3 linked regions of the Drosophila melanogaster genome follow. The protein of the gene in region 1 interacts with the protein of each later gene in a pairwise test. Each region holds a gene or a part of one and is shown in the gene's direction. Other genes may lie near its edges.

Region 1 (8,007 bases):
TGGCAAGACCAACATGTGTGATCCAAATGTTCATTTGTAAATTCTATAAACGGGGAAATACGATAATGAACTGAACTTCGACTCTACAACTGCAGCGAACGAAGCCAGCCACGGGCGGAGTCCACAAAAACACACTGTGGTAGAACACTAACCCACCCTTCTTCAACTATTCATTGCTTAAGCTATGGCCAGGCCCCCTGGAAAAAAATTATAAATCTTTAAGTCAAGCAGCCAGCCATTGATGGAATCAGATCGTCCGATGAGTATATTTAGCCCTCTTTACATTTAACAACAAATTTGTGCTCTTATATCGTAAATTCTACACAAAATTATTTATCTTCCAGTAATTATACTCGTTACTCGTAGTATAAAAGAGTATATTAGATTCGTTAAAAAGTATTTAACAGATAGAAAGTATTCATATTATTGATCAGGATCAATAGCCTGTCCGTCCGTTGAACGTCGAAATCTCAGGAGCTATAAGAACTAGAAGGTCAAGATTATGCATACAGATTCTAGAAACATAGACACAGAGCCAGTTTGCTTCCACGCCCACAAGTCGGGCAAAACTGTCACGCCCACACTTTTGAAAACTGTTTTGATATTCTTTCATAGTTTTATTAGTCTTGCAAATGTGTATGGTTTTGCAAAAAAACTTTTAAAAAAGTTTTGATATTTTTTCATCTTTTTTAATTATAAATTTTTATCGATTATGCCACACCCACTATCGACCGTAAGCCGCAGAAACCTGTCACGGACACACATTTGAAAAATATGTTATATCTTTTTTTCACATTTTTATTAGTATTGTAAAATTCTATCGATTTGCTACAAAAACTTTATGCCACGCCCACTCTAACGACCACAAACCTCCCATTTCTTCTTGTCCAATATCTATCGATGGTCCTAAAAAATTATGAAATTTCGCGTTCTCACTTCCACTAGCTGAGTAAAAGGTATTTGATATTCGGGGAACTCGTGCGTTCTCTCTTCTTATTTATTTAAAACAAGAGAGAACAATAGTCGATTACTTTCGACTATCAGATACCCGTTACTCAGCGAATTTTGAGATTTTTTTTGTCATTTCGATGGAAATTTACATTTATATAACAAAATGAAATGAAAATCAAATCCCTTTTCACAACTGAGAGCAGGATACCTGGCCAATAAACGGTTTCATGGCGTCTGGATAGGCTTGCGAACGCACTAACTTGCATGCGAACGGACAGGCGGACAGATCAAGATTATATGTATGTGTGTACTCCAGTAAACTTATAATTATTATGTTAGTCTAAAACCTTAATGCGTTGGAGATTTACAATAAATGTATGTACATATGTACATAGTCATGAATTCTTTAAATTCCTCGAAATTGTTCCGATACGGGAATCGACCCCCCTATATTAATTGAAGCTGATATGGCCGAAGTGCAGCGTATTCTGCCAAGAAACGCTATCCAAGTATTTTGGTACGTATGTATGTATGTACATACATGTGTATATGGTACATTCATGTAGTACATACATACATATGTATGCAAGTACGTACGAACGCTCGACAATTCCTCTGCTAAAACCAAATGCGAACGCGTCAACGGATTTTTGTATTACACACATTTTCTGTTGTTTCGTTCTGCGCGTTCTCCCTGTTGTGTGTGTGTGTGTGTGCGACGCCGCTTTTCGCTTGCTTTTACTTTCTGTGGCTTGTGATTGCGATTAAACGGGGTTTCCATCCGGCGAGTCGCGCTCTAGGCAGCGCCCGGAGAGCGCTTTAGACCTATATGTCTGGATCAGATAACGGGAACGGTGGCAGCGAGCCACGGCCGGAGAGAGACAGAGAGCGCAAAGAGCTATAGCTGGCTCTCATGTCGATGTCGAATGCGCGTGATTTTTTGGCTCTGAATGCGGGCTTGCTGCCAACTGCGCTGCCGGCTCGGCGTCGACGACGGCTGAGCGCAGCCCGCTTGCCGCGGTGGTTGTTATTTTCTGGTCTTGGTTTTTAGTTGCCGTTTAAACTTGGTCGTGAGAGGGTAGCAGCCCCGTTATCAGCCGACCGCGATCGCGTCCGAACTAAAGAGTACTGTGGAGCCCTGGCCAGTTCAAGCCTTCAAATCCTCCAGAACATTCTGATGGCGCCCGTGAGCGGCTGTTTGCCCACCGCCACCCACTCGCTGCAGGACATGAGTGCTGCCGCCGCGGCAATCGCTCTTGACATGAAGCCCAAGTTGGAGCCCCACCCCCTGGCCGCCGCAACTGCCATGCCCTCTCAGAAGATAAAGAAATGTGCGTACACAGATTTATTCCCCACATTCATGCAAACATACGTACATACATATGTATATATGTACAATTTTTATGCAAAATGCAGTCGAAAGTCGATACGTCGAACAAGCAGTAGAATTTATTTTATCTCTTCATTGCCTATTCAAATAGTTCGGTTCACCCTATGTGCAATGTACATACATATACGTACATACGTATGTATGTACATTTGGGTTAAAAAAGTTCGACTTATAGAAGTTTTGAGGTGCCTGTACCGTGCTTTCTTAAAATATTCGACTGTCGAGACTCGAGGACTTATATTATTTGCATTCATTTTTGTGTCCCAACAGTGGTTCGGCGCAACGCCTCCGACAAGCTGAAGCTCATCCAAATGGTGCACGACAATCCAATTCTCTGGGACTCCCGTCTCCCGAATTTCAAGGGCGCCGAAGAAGAAAAGAACCGAGCCTGGGAGCACATAGGCCGCGAGTTCAACGCTCCCGGGCGTCGCGTTGCACGGGCCTTCAAGTCCTTGAGGGAATCCTACCGCCGTGAACTCGCCCACGTCAAGCTAATGGGCAATGGCTTCAAGCCCAAGTGGAGTCTCTATGAGGCCATGGATTTCCTGCGCGATGTCATCAGAGAACGAAAGTAAGTATAAGGAATAGTATTTTAGTGAACTGGTGACCAGGTGATTCTCTTAAATTTAAAACCGTCAAGGAAGTTTCATGCCAATATCGACTCCTGGGGTTGACCAGTAATATAGAGCCCGTTATGAATTTTGCATTCTCTGCTTGACCCATTATTGCCACACCACAAATCATGTCACTAAAAATGATCTTCATCCAAATGGCTTTACAAAAGCAAAAGCAATAATAGAACACGAGAGAAGAGCGCTTAAATTTAAAATTTGACAGAAATACGAGTCATTCTTATAATCGAATAGTAAAGTACATGAAATTCTATATCAACGAATAATTATTACAGAACGTATTGCACTTATTTCCAAGTTTTCTTTTAATCTTTCTAGGCAATATTTACCTTTCCCAAAATGATCTTAATTAACGTACTTATTCTTATCCTCTGCTTTTTGGAGATCGATACCAAAACAAATCTAAAAGTGGAACCGTTATTTCTCAAAAGTAATGCTCCCTTACGACTACAGTTCTTCAATAATATCGTCTTACACTCTGAACATTATTTGTGTCAGGAGTACATTTGGCTACTTATATTACAATGAGTTTGATAAGCCGTCACTAACCATACAACCATCGAACAACGGTCAAAGTTTGGCTTGAGTCGTGAATAACAGTTTTCGGTTTAGATTGGTCTTCTGTTTTGGTCATACACGGATTGATTCATGCGAAACAAATACATGCATCAGTTTGAAGACTAGCTAACTTATACACAATAATAATGTGACTCACCTTTCCAACGATCATTTACATTGGTCGAAGGTATTGTATGCTTTCCAGTCCTGTGTCTGAAAGAGGTTTTTCCGAATCTGCCCCCCTAAAAATATGTGTGCTTGTCAGTAGTCAGTCAAGCGAACAATGTTGTTTAGCTTGGCTCAATCAAAAATAATTATTGCAGGAAATTCCAAGAATCTTATCATTTTATGCGAGTAGCCACTTCAGCTTATGTACACTGAGAAGTGTATGAGTTTGTGAGTCATGGCTTAGATCTAATGTTGGACAAAATATGTCAATAAATTTATTTCAAAAATCATAGAATCACGGACTTCGTAAAGATCTGACAATTTAAATAAATTGAGAATTCGGAAATATGTTCAGATCGAATAGACAATACATACAATTGTCACATAAAAAACATGTGATAAGTTTAGCATAAAGTTATTCGAACCGTAACTACGAAATTCCACTTCCATTCGAGCCTTCGTACAAAACTCATCCCTTAGCCCAGTCGATTTGCATAAACGCCCAACAATTCGAGCAAATCTCAGCACCGTGTCTGAGAAAACATCTGCCCAGCGAAAAAGAATAGCAAAAACAAGGCAAGGGGGCATATGGACACTAAGGAGCGGTAATGTGGAAAAAACCAATCCGAACAAAGGAATGACCGGGCCAGAGACCCGCAAATGGTCTCAGTCGAGAGTCTGCCCCGTCCAATGTTCTGGCTCATATGGAGCCGTGCTCGAGCTGCGGGTGTGTGTGTGTGTGTGAGTGTGTGTACTTTATGTACATATTTATATGAAATAAGGCCATTTCCTTTCAATTGACTGTACCCACATGGGCAACAAGCAGTCGACGGCCCCGACACATGCCCGCGCACACTCACCCATGGTGTGTGTATATATTTAAATTTTTATTATTGTGAGCTGATAACAGACAGCTCAACGGGCCCGGCCAGTCGGGCAGCGCTTGAGCCGGAGCTATAGCCGCAGCTATAGCCACAGCCATAGCCATAACACAGATCTCGCCAAGCGGCGAATATTATACAACGTCGCAGCATCGTCGCTGCTTGAACCAAAAACGAAATTGAGGGAAGCTGCAAACGCAAGACCAAGTCCATCGAATAGTGCTTGCGAGAGGGGTGGGGACTATGGGAAGGCGCCGAGAGAGCGATAAATTAATGAGAGCACTACGAAAATGACAATCAGCACCGAAGAATACGGATTGCGAGTGGACCAAGTTGGGAAAGACTGGTAGCTCGTGAGCGAGAAAGGGGCTGGTAAGGGAAAATGAGCGAGGTTCTGCCTGTGTGTGTATGACATGAGCACCGAACACTCGTAAAGATCGCTGTATGGGTGAGCTGAGTAATTGAACGAATAGCTTGGTCTGACTTCGGCCAGGGTTAAAAATATGCCCACGACCATTAGCCAGCCGCATCGGCCGCGTCCCGGCCAAGGGGTTGCTGAGACCCAGAGTCGGGGTCTGGACGCCTCTTTCAGGCTGCCCTGGCCCACATGCTTTCGTCGTTCAGTCCTCTCTTAATGGGGGGCTCTCGTACCCTCACCCTCACACACACGAGGCCACTTGGGTGTGAAAGTTCTGCTGGGCTCTGTCTGTGTCACGCTTATGATTTAATAAGCAAATGTGCTGCGAAATTGCTGAAATTGTTTGGCTGTCCGTCATCCCCACAATCCGAATCTCGCCCCACGCCCTGAAATCACTGTCCGCCGTATTTCGCATTGAAATGCTTTAGCCAATGCGTCACGGAAGAAGAAAAGTGGGCGGTAGTCCGTGCTTGCCTTTTGATTCTCGTACCTTTAAATGCCTTTGCATGGAGCTAGTTCTTGCCTAATAAATCATAATAAAAAGTTCTAGGTCTGCAAAAATCTAAAATCTCATTCGGACCATTGGAATATTTAATTATGTTATTATTATATTAATATTCATAGATTTGTTTCCAAGTGCAGGTGATAGAGATTTTAGAAAACGAATTCAAACCACAAAAACCCATAAACAATCTCGGAAAACGGCTTGGGACCTAAGCAAGAGCGGAAGCAAATAATGATAAGCTGAGCGATTCAAACCCCGAAAAGAAACCAAGTCAAAATAATGAAGTAAATAAAGCCATTCCCGATTGTGGAACATGTGAAAATGTATTTCGACTCGATTAGTCCTGCGAGTTTTTTGGTCTTGGCTGGCGAGCGAGTATCAGTTTTCAAATTTTACAATTGTCAACTACCTGCAGCCGATTGCGGTGATAAGGCTGTCTTCTAGGTCGCCCATGCCCGTGCCTACCACTAGGCCAGGTCTTTGCATTCGGCAAATAACTATAGGTATGGGGGAGGCCCAAAATAGCCACGTTCAGATGTTCTTTGAGCACCCGGCCCAGGCAGCTGCATTGCCTGTGAAAATGCTCTTGAAACTTGAGACGCGTAAGGAGAGAGACAGGAAGCGATACTACACTGAAAGACATTTATGTTTATGCATTTCTTGTGTTATTGCCTTAAACAGACAAGATTTCAAAATGGGGATATGAATCGTTGAGTCACAGGAAACATATGAACTCTATAAGGCTAATACAATTATATTTTTGTGTGTTTTCGAACTCACAATTAATACGAACATGCTTTCCTTATCAGGGTCACTATCCGATCGCAATGTCCGTCGGCATAAAACAAAGCTAATTAGTTGATGACAACCTAGCAAAGTTTTACGAACTTATTGATTTGTCTTTCAGACTATTCTATTTCTAATTTTTTGCCCAACGTTTTGCAAATGATTATTGCCAGCATTATTTAATATTTTTTTATTTATTGTAATTAATATAATTTAAGATAAGAGAAAGAAAATCTGTTATACTATAAATGATGTGTGAGAGACAAAGAAAAGTATTCTTTCTACTTTTAATTTAAGAACGTAGGCGGTTCTTAAAGTGTATTAAAAACAATGTACATAACCACTAGTCACGGTTATATGTTATTGTATTTAATAAATTTATTAATCTTTTTGTATGCCCTTTTAAACAACCTCCTTCATCAAATTTTTATTAGTATTCAACTTAACATCAATACAAAATAAAAAAATACCGCAGACTTGCTGCGAATATGAATATTGAATATGACGCAAAAGTAAAACCCAACCTTAAACCCGTTAAAATGTGAAATAATTTAGTCTTCTAACATATGTTCTTTCTATTATAGGGGCGCTTCGCATGCAACCGATCTAAGCCTGACAACCTATGGCCATATTAACAATAACAACAACAACAACAACAACAGTAACAGCTTGGCTGCAGGGGGAAAGGCAATGACCCTGAAGCTGTCCAATTCCTTTAACGAGTCCGCCTCAGTGTTAAATCTCTCAAAGTGCTCCTCGCTCAATGTAAGCGACGATCACTACTATTGCGACTACTATGTGAAGCCGGAGCTGGATCTCTCGGTGGGCGGTGGGGCCGGAAGTAGCACAAGTGGGAGTAGCTCCGGCGGCGGGCCACTTCCTCTGCCCGCTCACCAGGCTCACAACGACAGTCGGGTGAGCTCAACGAGAAACGAGCAAAGGGCACAGCATCACAGCTATGAAGACATGGACGACAGCTCGATACGCAGCGGGGACGAAGATATCGCCCACGCATCCGACGTAGTGGAGGAGTTGGATGCCATCGATGCAGATTTCCCTTATCCTCTGATTCTGGATTCCAACTCACGCGGTAGCCCCAATGTTGGTGTGGACGATGTGGTCATGTCCCGCAAGCTTCGCCGTAACGTCGATCAAGATGTTTTGGAGGAAGGAAACGGTCACGGCGATGCGGTTATCGATGGTGACGACTACGAAGAACAAATGCTGCAACAGCACCGCCATCTCCGGCAGCAACAGGGCGTCGCAAGCGGAGGGTTGGATCTGCCGCCCCCACAAACTGTACGTGAGGTTTTGAACTCCAAGTTCTGCGGCTTTATTTCAGCCAAGCTAAACAGCATGGAGGACTCGGACGCGGACAATTTAATGAATCGCATTCTTCTCTTACTGGTTCAAGTGCAGCAGTGCGAAGGGTCCACGAAATAGACAGCGGAGGAGAAGAGCGCTAAGTGTACGGGTGTAATTATAGTAGCCAAAAAAAAGTACATAATGGAATGATGTTGCTGCTCAGAGCACTTATAACTGAATTTTCTTGCCATTATATATTACTTTCCTAAAGAAATACAAATTTACTTGCCAATGCCAAATCTGTGCCATACCAAAAGGATCAATCAAATATGAATGATTTTCTAAAACATTCTCTAATTTTTTCGCTCCTATTAACAAAAATGAACCAAACTCAACGAAAAGACAACACAAAG
Region 2 (5,490 bases), on another chromosome or scaffold:
GTCTGGAGCAGACCCGGTTTCTGGCCAAGAAGCACTGCAACGAGGCGATACGGCTGGCCCAGGAGCTCACGGAGTCGCCCTACCAGAAGGGTCTCCAGGTGGTCGCCGACTTAGTCATCAACCGCATGAAGTAGAGTACCGAGCACCCGAACACCCTAACATAAACCATACACGTAATGCAATAATAATAATATTAATAATAATATTGTTATGTAGGCCCATTGATGTTTGGATTAAGTCCTGTTCAGCCGGCGGGCCAATTTGTAAACAAGAATTATTATTTAGTTTTTAGGCATTTGTTGTTGACACTGTAAATAATTGCATAAAAAAACCTAATCAACACACACTAAATGGCAACGATCGCTGTACATAACATAATTACAAGATGTTTAATGAATTTTTGACAAATTTTGTATGCAATGTTTTTCGACAAATTTATTTATATGTATAGAGAGCGAAACATGAGCCAAAAGCCAACAACAATAGGGGAAACGAGAAAATTGTACAAACATTTCATCAAATAAATGAATGGAAATGGGTTGCCAGGCGAGCACCAAATGTGGAATCTACTTTAAAATGAAAATGTTTATTAGTCAATGCAACAAAGAAAGCCAGTGTGTAGAGCGATATTTTTAATACGAAGCACGAGGAGCATAATTGGTTTATTTTATATTAATACTTGATTTAGGGCATTTCATGCCTAAATGGTTCAATGGTCATTGCCTGCACTCTGTTTAAAATCCCTTCCGACCGCACAAACTTGTAACTTAAAGTGGAAAGCCCGTAGTTTAGCTGGATTAAATAAAATATTTTGAACCATTCGCGCATGAAATGCATATTATAATATGTTCTATAAGAAATGTAACGAGGATTGTATGTGAAACAATGCTGCCCAGTCTTAATTTTAAATCTTTCTTCTCCGCCTCTAATGCAATAGTAATTTAAAAGACATTTGAAACGAATTCGAACCGCAAACCCCAAATGTTGAAATGTTCTACAAATCTTTTTAGATGTAAGTTTTTATTTTAATTTATAAACACAACCTCAGTTAAGTTAGTCAGCGAAATTCGTTTTTTTGTCCGTTTAGTTTTGATGCAAATTCATTGGGCTCCTTTACAGCCTGCTCTACACTGAAAGAAAGGCAAATGAAAGATATAATGCAGAAATTTGCTGGCTAGTTAATCAATACAATTGGGTGCTGACGACGATATACCCACATATTTTAGAGTGCGAACGACAAAATAATGATACAGATGTTGATATTGATACATGTAATTACGATATTTGTATACCTAATGAGATGAATAAAAATTCGATTTTGTAAAACAAGCAAATTGGAGCTGATTTCGCCGCTTGTAGCTATGCAACATATTAACCACCAACCAGGTTGACCCAGTGAAATAGTTTTGGACATGGCCAAAATGCCTTATGTTGCAACGGGCATGGCTGAAACCGAAATTGGGGCAAACAAATAAATTTGGCGGTGTGAGTTGCTGGCTGAAATTGTAACTGCCACACGGGGCGTATGAGTAATGCTTGCTGCTTAGGCTTGCAAGAGCTTTTCATTTTAAAACATCAACAAGTTTCGTATTAAGTGGCACGCTATACTGCAGTAGGCTTACTTTTGCGTTTCATTAAAACAGAGCATCACGATTCAGGTTAAGCCAACGCAGCCGTGGCATTATTTCCAGGCAACATAAAGTCAATATATTTTATGTCCAGGCAGTCTAGCAAAGTGGAGCAGGCAAACATCGTGTCTAACTGGCGAAATATTTAAATAGCCAGACCAAATTAGCTGAGGTTTCGATATCCTTCGACTCGCCTTCAAGGACAGACGACCGAAGTGTGCCTTAACCTAGGTTATAAATAGTCGGGCGTGCTGCCTAGACAACCGACCCATCATCCACGGCCCTTTAGTGCCTGGCACGGATCCTGGCAGCCAATTCGGCGGTTAAACGGCTTGGATGGGACACGAGACCGATTCAGTAACGCCGCGTTTGCTGAACGCAGCGCTACTTCTGTTCTCGTTCTACCAGTTTCCCAAACATCCAGATAGGATCTCCAGAGCATTCAGAGAGCCATGACGACTAGCGATGAAATGGGCATGGGGGGCAACTTCTGCCACGACCACATCCAGCATCCGCTGATGTGGTGCGATGAGAAGAAGCGTCTTGTGGAGCGCAAGAATGCAGAGGAGAGTCTTCGCATGTGGCGGCGCCGGAAGGCGGAGGAGTGTGCTCGCAAGGAGAAGGATAAGCAGGAGGTGGGTAACAGTGCGTATGTGTGTGATATTTCCAGACCGTGCGTATGAGTTATATTTTAGGGCCCCAAGCAAAGTTGTTAGTAGTTACCTGAAACACCTTAAGCTTGGAACTCTGAACCCTAAATATATTAGTTTTAAAACTTTAAAGGCCATAATCAATTCACCAAGTTCCAAGTTCTTTGTCTAAGTCTAAGGCAAAACCAGAAACGAACGAAATGACAATCGAAAAACATCTCGAACCATCCGCCACGCAATAGTTGCAACTTTTGGTAAGTTCAAAGACCTGCCTCAAGCAACATGTAAGGCATCCGCCCCCGCGGATCTGGTTCAACAAACCCTTTGACAATTTCGACTTCGGTAATCAAATCCCCTCTCTTCGGCTAAAAGCCCAACTCCTGCGAGTCCTTGCGTGACTGGAGTCCTGGCTCCTTGCTCCACTACCTATCACAACCTGCAGCTGTGTGAAAGCGCCAACCGAAATGTGGGTGAAAAAAATCAGTGAAATGCAAATCGCCGTTCGCTGCAACTATAACAACAACCTACTAACAAACTTTGTGGGCCAGGGCAGCGGGAGCTCCTGAATTTGCCAATTTCCGTAAACAAACATCGCCACACTTCGCGGAGTGACACGACGAGGTGGGTTGAGGCAGTCTGGAGCCACAAATAGGCTGCCACCCAATCGATAAGGCATAACTCGGTGTTGTAATCGTCCTGCGGAAGTAATTTAATGTATTTATGTTGTGACTTTATTGCGGGTAATGCGATTCATGATTTCAGCGGAGGATACGTTAGTTTGCCTAAACGATTTTTCCAAGCATCACAATCTTTACTGAAATAAGTTGAAGATCAATTCGTATCAACAATGTTCTTTTATCCAGTACTACGACCTGTTTCACCAACATTGTCCCTGGGGTCGACCTGGTGGTGGGGCACCCAACGTAGAGGTGCGACGCAAGGACATCACAGCCGCTGGCCTTCACTCGACGCCCACAGTGGTAAGGACTCTTGAATCCTTCTCGAATAACATATATTCTACTCCAATAATTTGAATGTGCCGCAGACCAATGCCCACCGAATGAATCTACTGCAGCCGTGTCGCTACAACGACTTCTTCTCGATGCAGAAGAAGTGCCACAACAACCCGCTGGCCGCCTACCATCACCACCACCACCACGCCCCGCCTGCTCCGCCGCCGGGTGGCCGACTGGGCCACGCCCACTCGGTCCATCACCTGCAGGAAAGTGGTCCCAGGAGCAGCACCGTAACGATTTGCGAGCGGGAGATTCCGCACAAGCCCGGAGCGGCAGTTGGTGTCAATGTGGCCAAAAACGCCAACGGTGAGAGCCTTCACATCGAGCTGAAAGAACATCCTTCAATGTCGTTTCGCAATAAAGGCCATGTGGACATAGAATTGCGGTACAAGCCCTCTCCTCCGTGCAAGGGGAAGCCGCTTCTGGAGAAGATCGTAGTCAGCGAGAGTGAGCAGCGATGTCCTTTGCAGGAAAAGCTGGCCACTCAGAAGAAGCGCTTGCAAGCCAAACTCGAAAAGCCGGTGAGCGGCACTTATTACGCCCCCTGAAACCAAGTTTAACTAATCCCTCTTTATCTGTCCTCCTTCTAGTCCTGCAAGGAGCCGTGGGGCAAGGCGGGTCCGGGCGGCAAGCCATGGCGGAGTCCCAAGGAAGTGGGCAACACGTTCATGAAGTCACTGGTGGGTATCAGTCGCTTGTGCTCATATGTACACTGTTTAAATATAATCTAATTTCAGGGTTGGACGAACAAGGAGATGCTGAAGGAGTTGGACCAAGATAACCCGGTGACTCCCGCGGAGAAGAACACCTTTCGCAAATCGCGACCAGGCAAGCCACCAAAGCCGCAGCGCTGCTGTGAGTTGTGCACTTGCAAATGTCCCGCCATGCAAAAGAGTCCGCCCAAGCCGTCGCCACTCTCACTTCCCATTCCGCCAGGCAAAAAGTGCCCGGGTCCGCCAGGTCCGCCGCCCGGAAAAATGCTGCACCACTTGAAGCCGCAGGACTGCGGTAGCAAGCCCATCAAGTTGTGCCCCCGCATAGCGTCGAGAGGTCCCTGTCCCGGGAGCACCAGTACCGCCACTCCGGATCCCAGCACAGCGGGAGGAAAGGGAGGAGCCTATGGCGAAGGTGGTGGGGTGGAGCTGGTTCCCCTGCTCGCCAGAAGGCGTGGCATGCACCGACCCATCAGTCTCTCCAGCACGGACGTGACCAAGAGGACACCGTCGCACGATAGGTACGCATCCAAGCACAAGCATCCACCAAAGAACTGTCAGCTGACCACCACCAAGATCAAGTGCATCAACAGCATCATCAAGAACATTAGCCACATGAAGCGGCTGCCCAAGAATCTGAACTGCAAGCTGCAGTGTTGCAGTTGCGATTGCCCCACGGCCTTGGCCACGGGCTGCTGCCTCAAGCGGCTGACCCTGCACATTCGCCAGGCTTGAAACCCACGTTCTATCAATCCCGATCCCCTCCTGCTTTCATAGTACTACCATTCCACCACCTCCCTGCTCCCACCGTTTCTCATTTGCTTGCTCTGCGCCAGACATTGAAACGAAAGTCCGCTTGCCCCTCTATGCCTTTGCCTTGTGATCTTGTTCTGTTAATGGTTTCTCTAATCCCCCACTTCTCCTCGGCTCATCCAGCAAGAAAATATCCATTGTAATACAAGTGAAAGTATAGCAACCAAACGAGCAAACCAAATACCAATCTCACCAAAATCAAACAAACCGCAACAGCAAAAGTCAAAAATCATAATACCAATCTTCTATGTATGTATCCCCGTGCAAAACAAATCGAACTGAAAACCGAAAATCGAAAATTCGAAATCTGAAAAATCGAACTGATATAAATGAAACTATAATATTGCTGCCCACCAATCGACCGGCAACCAGGATTCAAACGGCCGCCGACATGCGCTATCTGCACGACCTGAATGTCCAGATCTCGCAGAACCGTCGATCCGTCTCCGTTTCCAAGCAACTGGACAGGGATCTGTGCAACCAACATTTCGACACATTCGAAACGTTCTGGGGCAGACCAGGACATGGAGCCCGTGGCGACAAGATCAACAAACTGAAACTGGACAATCTGCTCTATGGCGCCAGCGAATCGGCGTAAGGCCAAGGATTCTTGGATATTCAAGGATATTCCCTCACCTTCTGACTGGCTCGTAGTTTGTGCGCTTAAGTC
Region 3 (3,274 bases), on another chromosome or scaffold:
GCCCCATGTGCGCGGTGCCCATCGAAAAGGACGAGGGCTGCGCCCAGATGATGTGCAAGCGCTGCAAGCACGTCTTCTGCTGGTACTGCCTGGCCAGTTTGGATGTAAGTTCCTAGAATCTGGCAAGTCTAGGATATTTCATCTAATTTGTATTCCTGCAGGATGACTTCCTGCTGCGCCACTACGACAAGGGACCGTGCAAGAACAAGCTGGGGCACTCGCGGGCCTCGGTGGTCTGGCATCGTGCCCAAGTGATTGGGATCTTCGCCGGCTTTGGCATTCTGCTGCTGGTGGCCTCGCCGCTGCTGCTCTTGGCTGCTCCCTGCATCATCTGCTGCAAGTGCAGAGGGTGCACCGGGTCCAAGATCGACGAGGTGGACGCCGAACTGGAGGAGGAGGTCACTGCGCTGCAGGGCTAGGTGGCTGGATCTCCACGCATCCCCATCCATACGCGACATAGGCTGCAGCCTGTAAATGCAGCTGCTGTAATTACTGGTAGTTTCTATTGTTAATGACGACAGCTTACGTACATTTATTTTAGTTATTACAATTATAATTGTATATGTGTTAACTAAATTGTGATATTTACAGTGATTCGATTTCTAATTGAATCGACAAATTTGTTGAGAACCTATACAAAGACAAGACGCCTTCGATTCTTTTTAGGTTCTGTCTCTACATATATTCTTTCCTCCCCCTAACCACACCTTTGAATATATATTCGACTAAATCAATCTGTATAAATCGAGTAGGTTCTCTTCCTAGCGCATAAGTTAGTCTAAATATATTAGGAGTACGCCTCGTATTGCAACAGTGCTTTTATAACGCACCCACCCAAACAAAATCGCCCGACTCACCCACTCAATCCTTCTCTCAAGTATTACGCATGCAACTAACACCCAAAATTGATGGGTCACTTTGATCAACTGCTTGGCAATGCTTTTATCTACGCAAAAAAATATATATACTGCATATAAAGGAGGTGTATATGATGTCACTACTACTGTTTATTGAATGTATTTAATTGTAAATTTTACTACGCAGCTAAAACAAATGTATATCAAATCGCTGCTCTCGGGTCGCTTGCCTAAAAGCTGGCAGGTGCACCTAGCTGGGGATGATTTGGTTAATGTAAATTATTGAATTATTTAATGCATATACACTCAGAACACATATATCAAAATACGTATGACATAAAAGTGCGTGTATCTTTAAAGAAAACATATTTAAACTTTACTCTTAATGTGAACAACTACCGCGTATGCTGTTTGAAATAAAAATGTTAAAAGAAAACTATGGAATTGGCTTTTATTAAAGTACTGGGTTATTTAATAGCTTAAAATTCTCATTTCATATTCATGGGCTTCATTTCAAGCTTTAAATTTTCAAGCTTGTAACGGCTATTGTAAAACATGCATATAGTATGGCAACGCTATGTTTGTGGTTCGTGTATGTGCTAGATGTGAACTAAAGTTACTAAGCGAAATCACAAACATGACATTACGGGCCAACCATGGTCACATTAGGGAATGCATCAAATAATAATTTATCGAAAACATTGGCCGGCAAAGAGTTTTTATTTACGGATTTAAGCAGCAGAGAGGAGGACAGGTAAACCGGCTACGCGATGGACGACCAGGCGTGCCCGCGGTGCAAGACCACCAAATACCGGAATCCATCGCTCAAGCTGATGGTCAACGTTTGCGGACACACATTATGCGAATCTTGCGTGGACTTGCTGTTCCTCAAAGGATCCGGCGCCTGTCCAGAGTGCATGGTCCCATTGCGGCGCAACAACTTCCGCGTGCAGCTTTTTGAGGACCCAATGGTGGAGAAGGAGGTGGATATTCGTAGGCGAATTCTGCGCGACTACAATAAACGTGAGGAGGACTTTGCCTCCCTGGCGGAGTACAATGACTATCTGGAGGAGATCGAGGACATTGTGTACAATCTGTGCAACAACATCGACATCATCGAGACAAACAAGCGTATTGAGGCCTACAAGCGTGATAACCGTGAGGTCATTCAGCGGAATAAAACCCGCGTGGGACGCGATGAGTACGCGTTGGAGGAGATGCTGGAGCTGGAGAAAGTTCAGGAGGAGGCGCGTAGGAAGGAGCTGGAGGAACTGGAGAACGAGCACAAGAAGAAGAAGGCCCGCGACAAGCAGGCGCTGATCGAGGAGCTGATGTACAGCGGCAAGGATGCCGCCCAAATTGTCACCGAGTTCGCCGAAAAAGCGGAAAAGCAGCGCGAGGAGGAGAAACAGCTTCCACCGCCGAAGCCCGCCAACGAGTTCTCTACGGGCATAAAGTTCGGACAGACAGCTGATCCCAGTCTGCTGCCCGTTCCCAAATCGGAGGAGGGTCCACTTTTCGTATACGAGCCACTTGTTCCTTTCAGTGAGGGACCTGCCATGCCGCCCACAAATGAGATCGTGTCCAGGGGCTATATTGCCCACATACGAGCTGAAACACCGCAGGAGAACGCCGGCGGATTCACATCCGCTCTGGCTTGTGAACGGGCGCTTCAGGAGGCGCTGCAGGGACTCTACTATACGGCTACAACGGGTGTGGTATCTGGCACCTAGCTCTCTAAAAAAATATCCTTTAATGGTCGCACAACCAGAGCACTGAACGCTTAATTTTGTTGAACAAATGTGTCCTATACGAATCCATTCAGTTAACTCGTAACTTAATATATGTTAAATAAATAAATGCTATATCCTACGTTATAGATATTATTTATTCAAAAATATATTGTTGTTGGCTACATAGTAGGTCAATAGATGCGCAGGAAAATTAATCCTTAAACAAGAAGTAAAAAAAATAACATGTCTATATTAGAATAACTTTCATTTGCAAAGAAACTTAGCTTATTCATTTTGATAATTATTCAAATAAGAAAGTTTCCTGAATTTGTATTCTAAATACAAATACAAGAGATCAAAATGAGCCAAACAGAAAAACAGTTGGTTCGTTCGACTACAGACTTCTTTTTATTTTAAATACTTTTAACAGTAAATATTTATAGGCATTTATAGACATATGCTGGATAAACATACATTGGATTTAACTTGCTCTTTATACATTATACGGATTATAGTTAAATCGTGTGATAGTCGGACGAGTAGCTCGTCACATCCTAAGATCTACTTGCACAGTTAGAGGTAAATGTGTTCTGCGATCGGGCCACTTGCGAGATTTTTGGCCACAGATGGACTATCCTAGCCAAGTACATGAACTGGTTAACTTAACGACCTATGCATGGGCAA

The links. Proteins that work in one complex are often made in the same cells at the same time.
Region 2: the proteins of Mes2 (region 1) and CG15564 interact in a two-hybrid assay, tested with the Drosophila melanogaster proteins (one large-scale study listed by BioGRID).
Region 3: the proteins of Mes2 (region 1) and Mat1 interact in a two-hybrid assay, tested with the Drosophila melanogaster proteins (one large-scale study listed by BioGRID).

Annotation. Positions count from the first base shown.
Region 1 is NT_037436.4:22,943,659-22,951,665, forward strand, and holds the start of Mes2 (Mesoderm-expressed 2), read left to right. Parts: upstream 1-1,998; 5' UTR 1,999-2,128; coding exon 2,129-2,282; intron 2,283-2,336; exon of another isoform or gene 2,337-2,526; intron 2,527-2,611; coding exon 2,612-2,912; intron 2,913-6,873; coding exon 6,874-7,732; 3' UTR 7,733-8,007.
Region 2 is NT_033777.3:31,231,872-31,237,361, reverse strand, and holds CG15564 (uncharacterized protein), read left to right. Parts: upstream 1-1,999; 5' UTR 2,000-2,080; coding exon 2,081-2,263; intron 2,264-3,141; coding exon 3,142-3,258; intron 3,259-3,323; coding exon 3,324-3,600; intron 3,601-3,657; coding exon 3,658-3,815; intron 3,816-3,884; coding exon 3,885-3,974; intron 3,975-4,031; coding exon 4,032-4,742; 3' UTR 4,743-4,947; downstream 4,948-5,490. Other genes in the region: qless, read left to right, coding at 1-134; CG15563 (uncharacterized protein), read left to right, coding at 5,068-5,418.
Region 3 is NT_033778.4:10,738,074-10,741,347, reverse strand, and holds Mat1 (menage a trois 1), read left to right. Parts: upstream 1-1,518; 5' UTR 1,519-1,627; coding exon 1,628-2,590; 3' UTR 2,591-2,731; downstream 2,732-3,274. Other genes in the region: CG33144 (uncharacterized protein), read left to right, coding at 1-104, 162-419.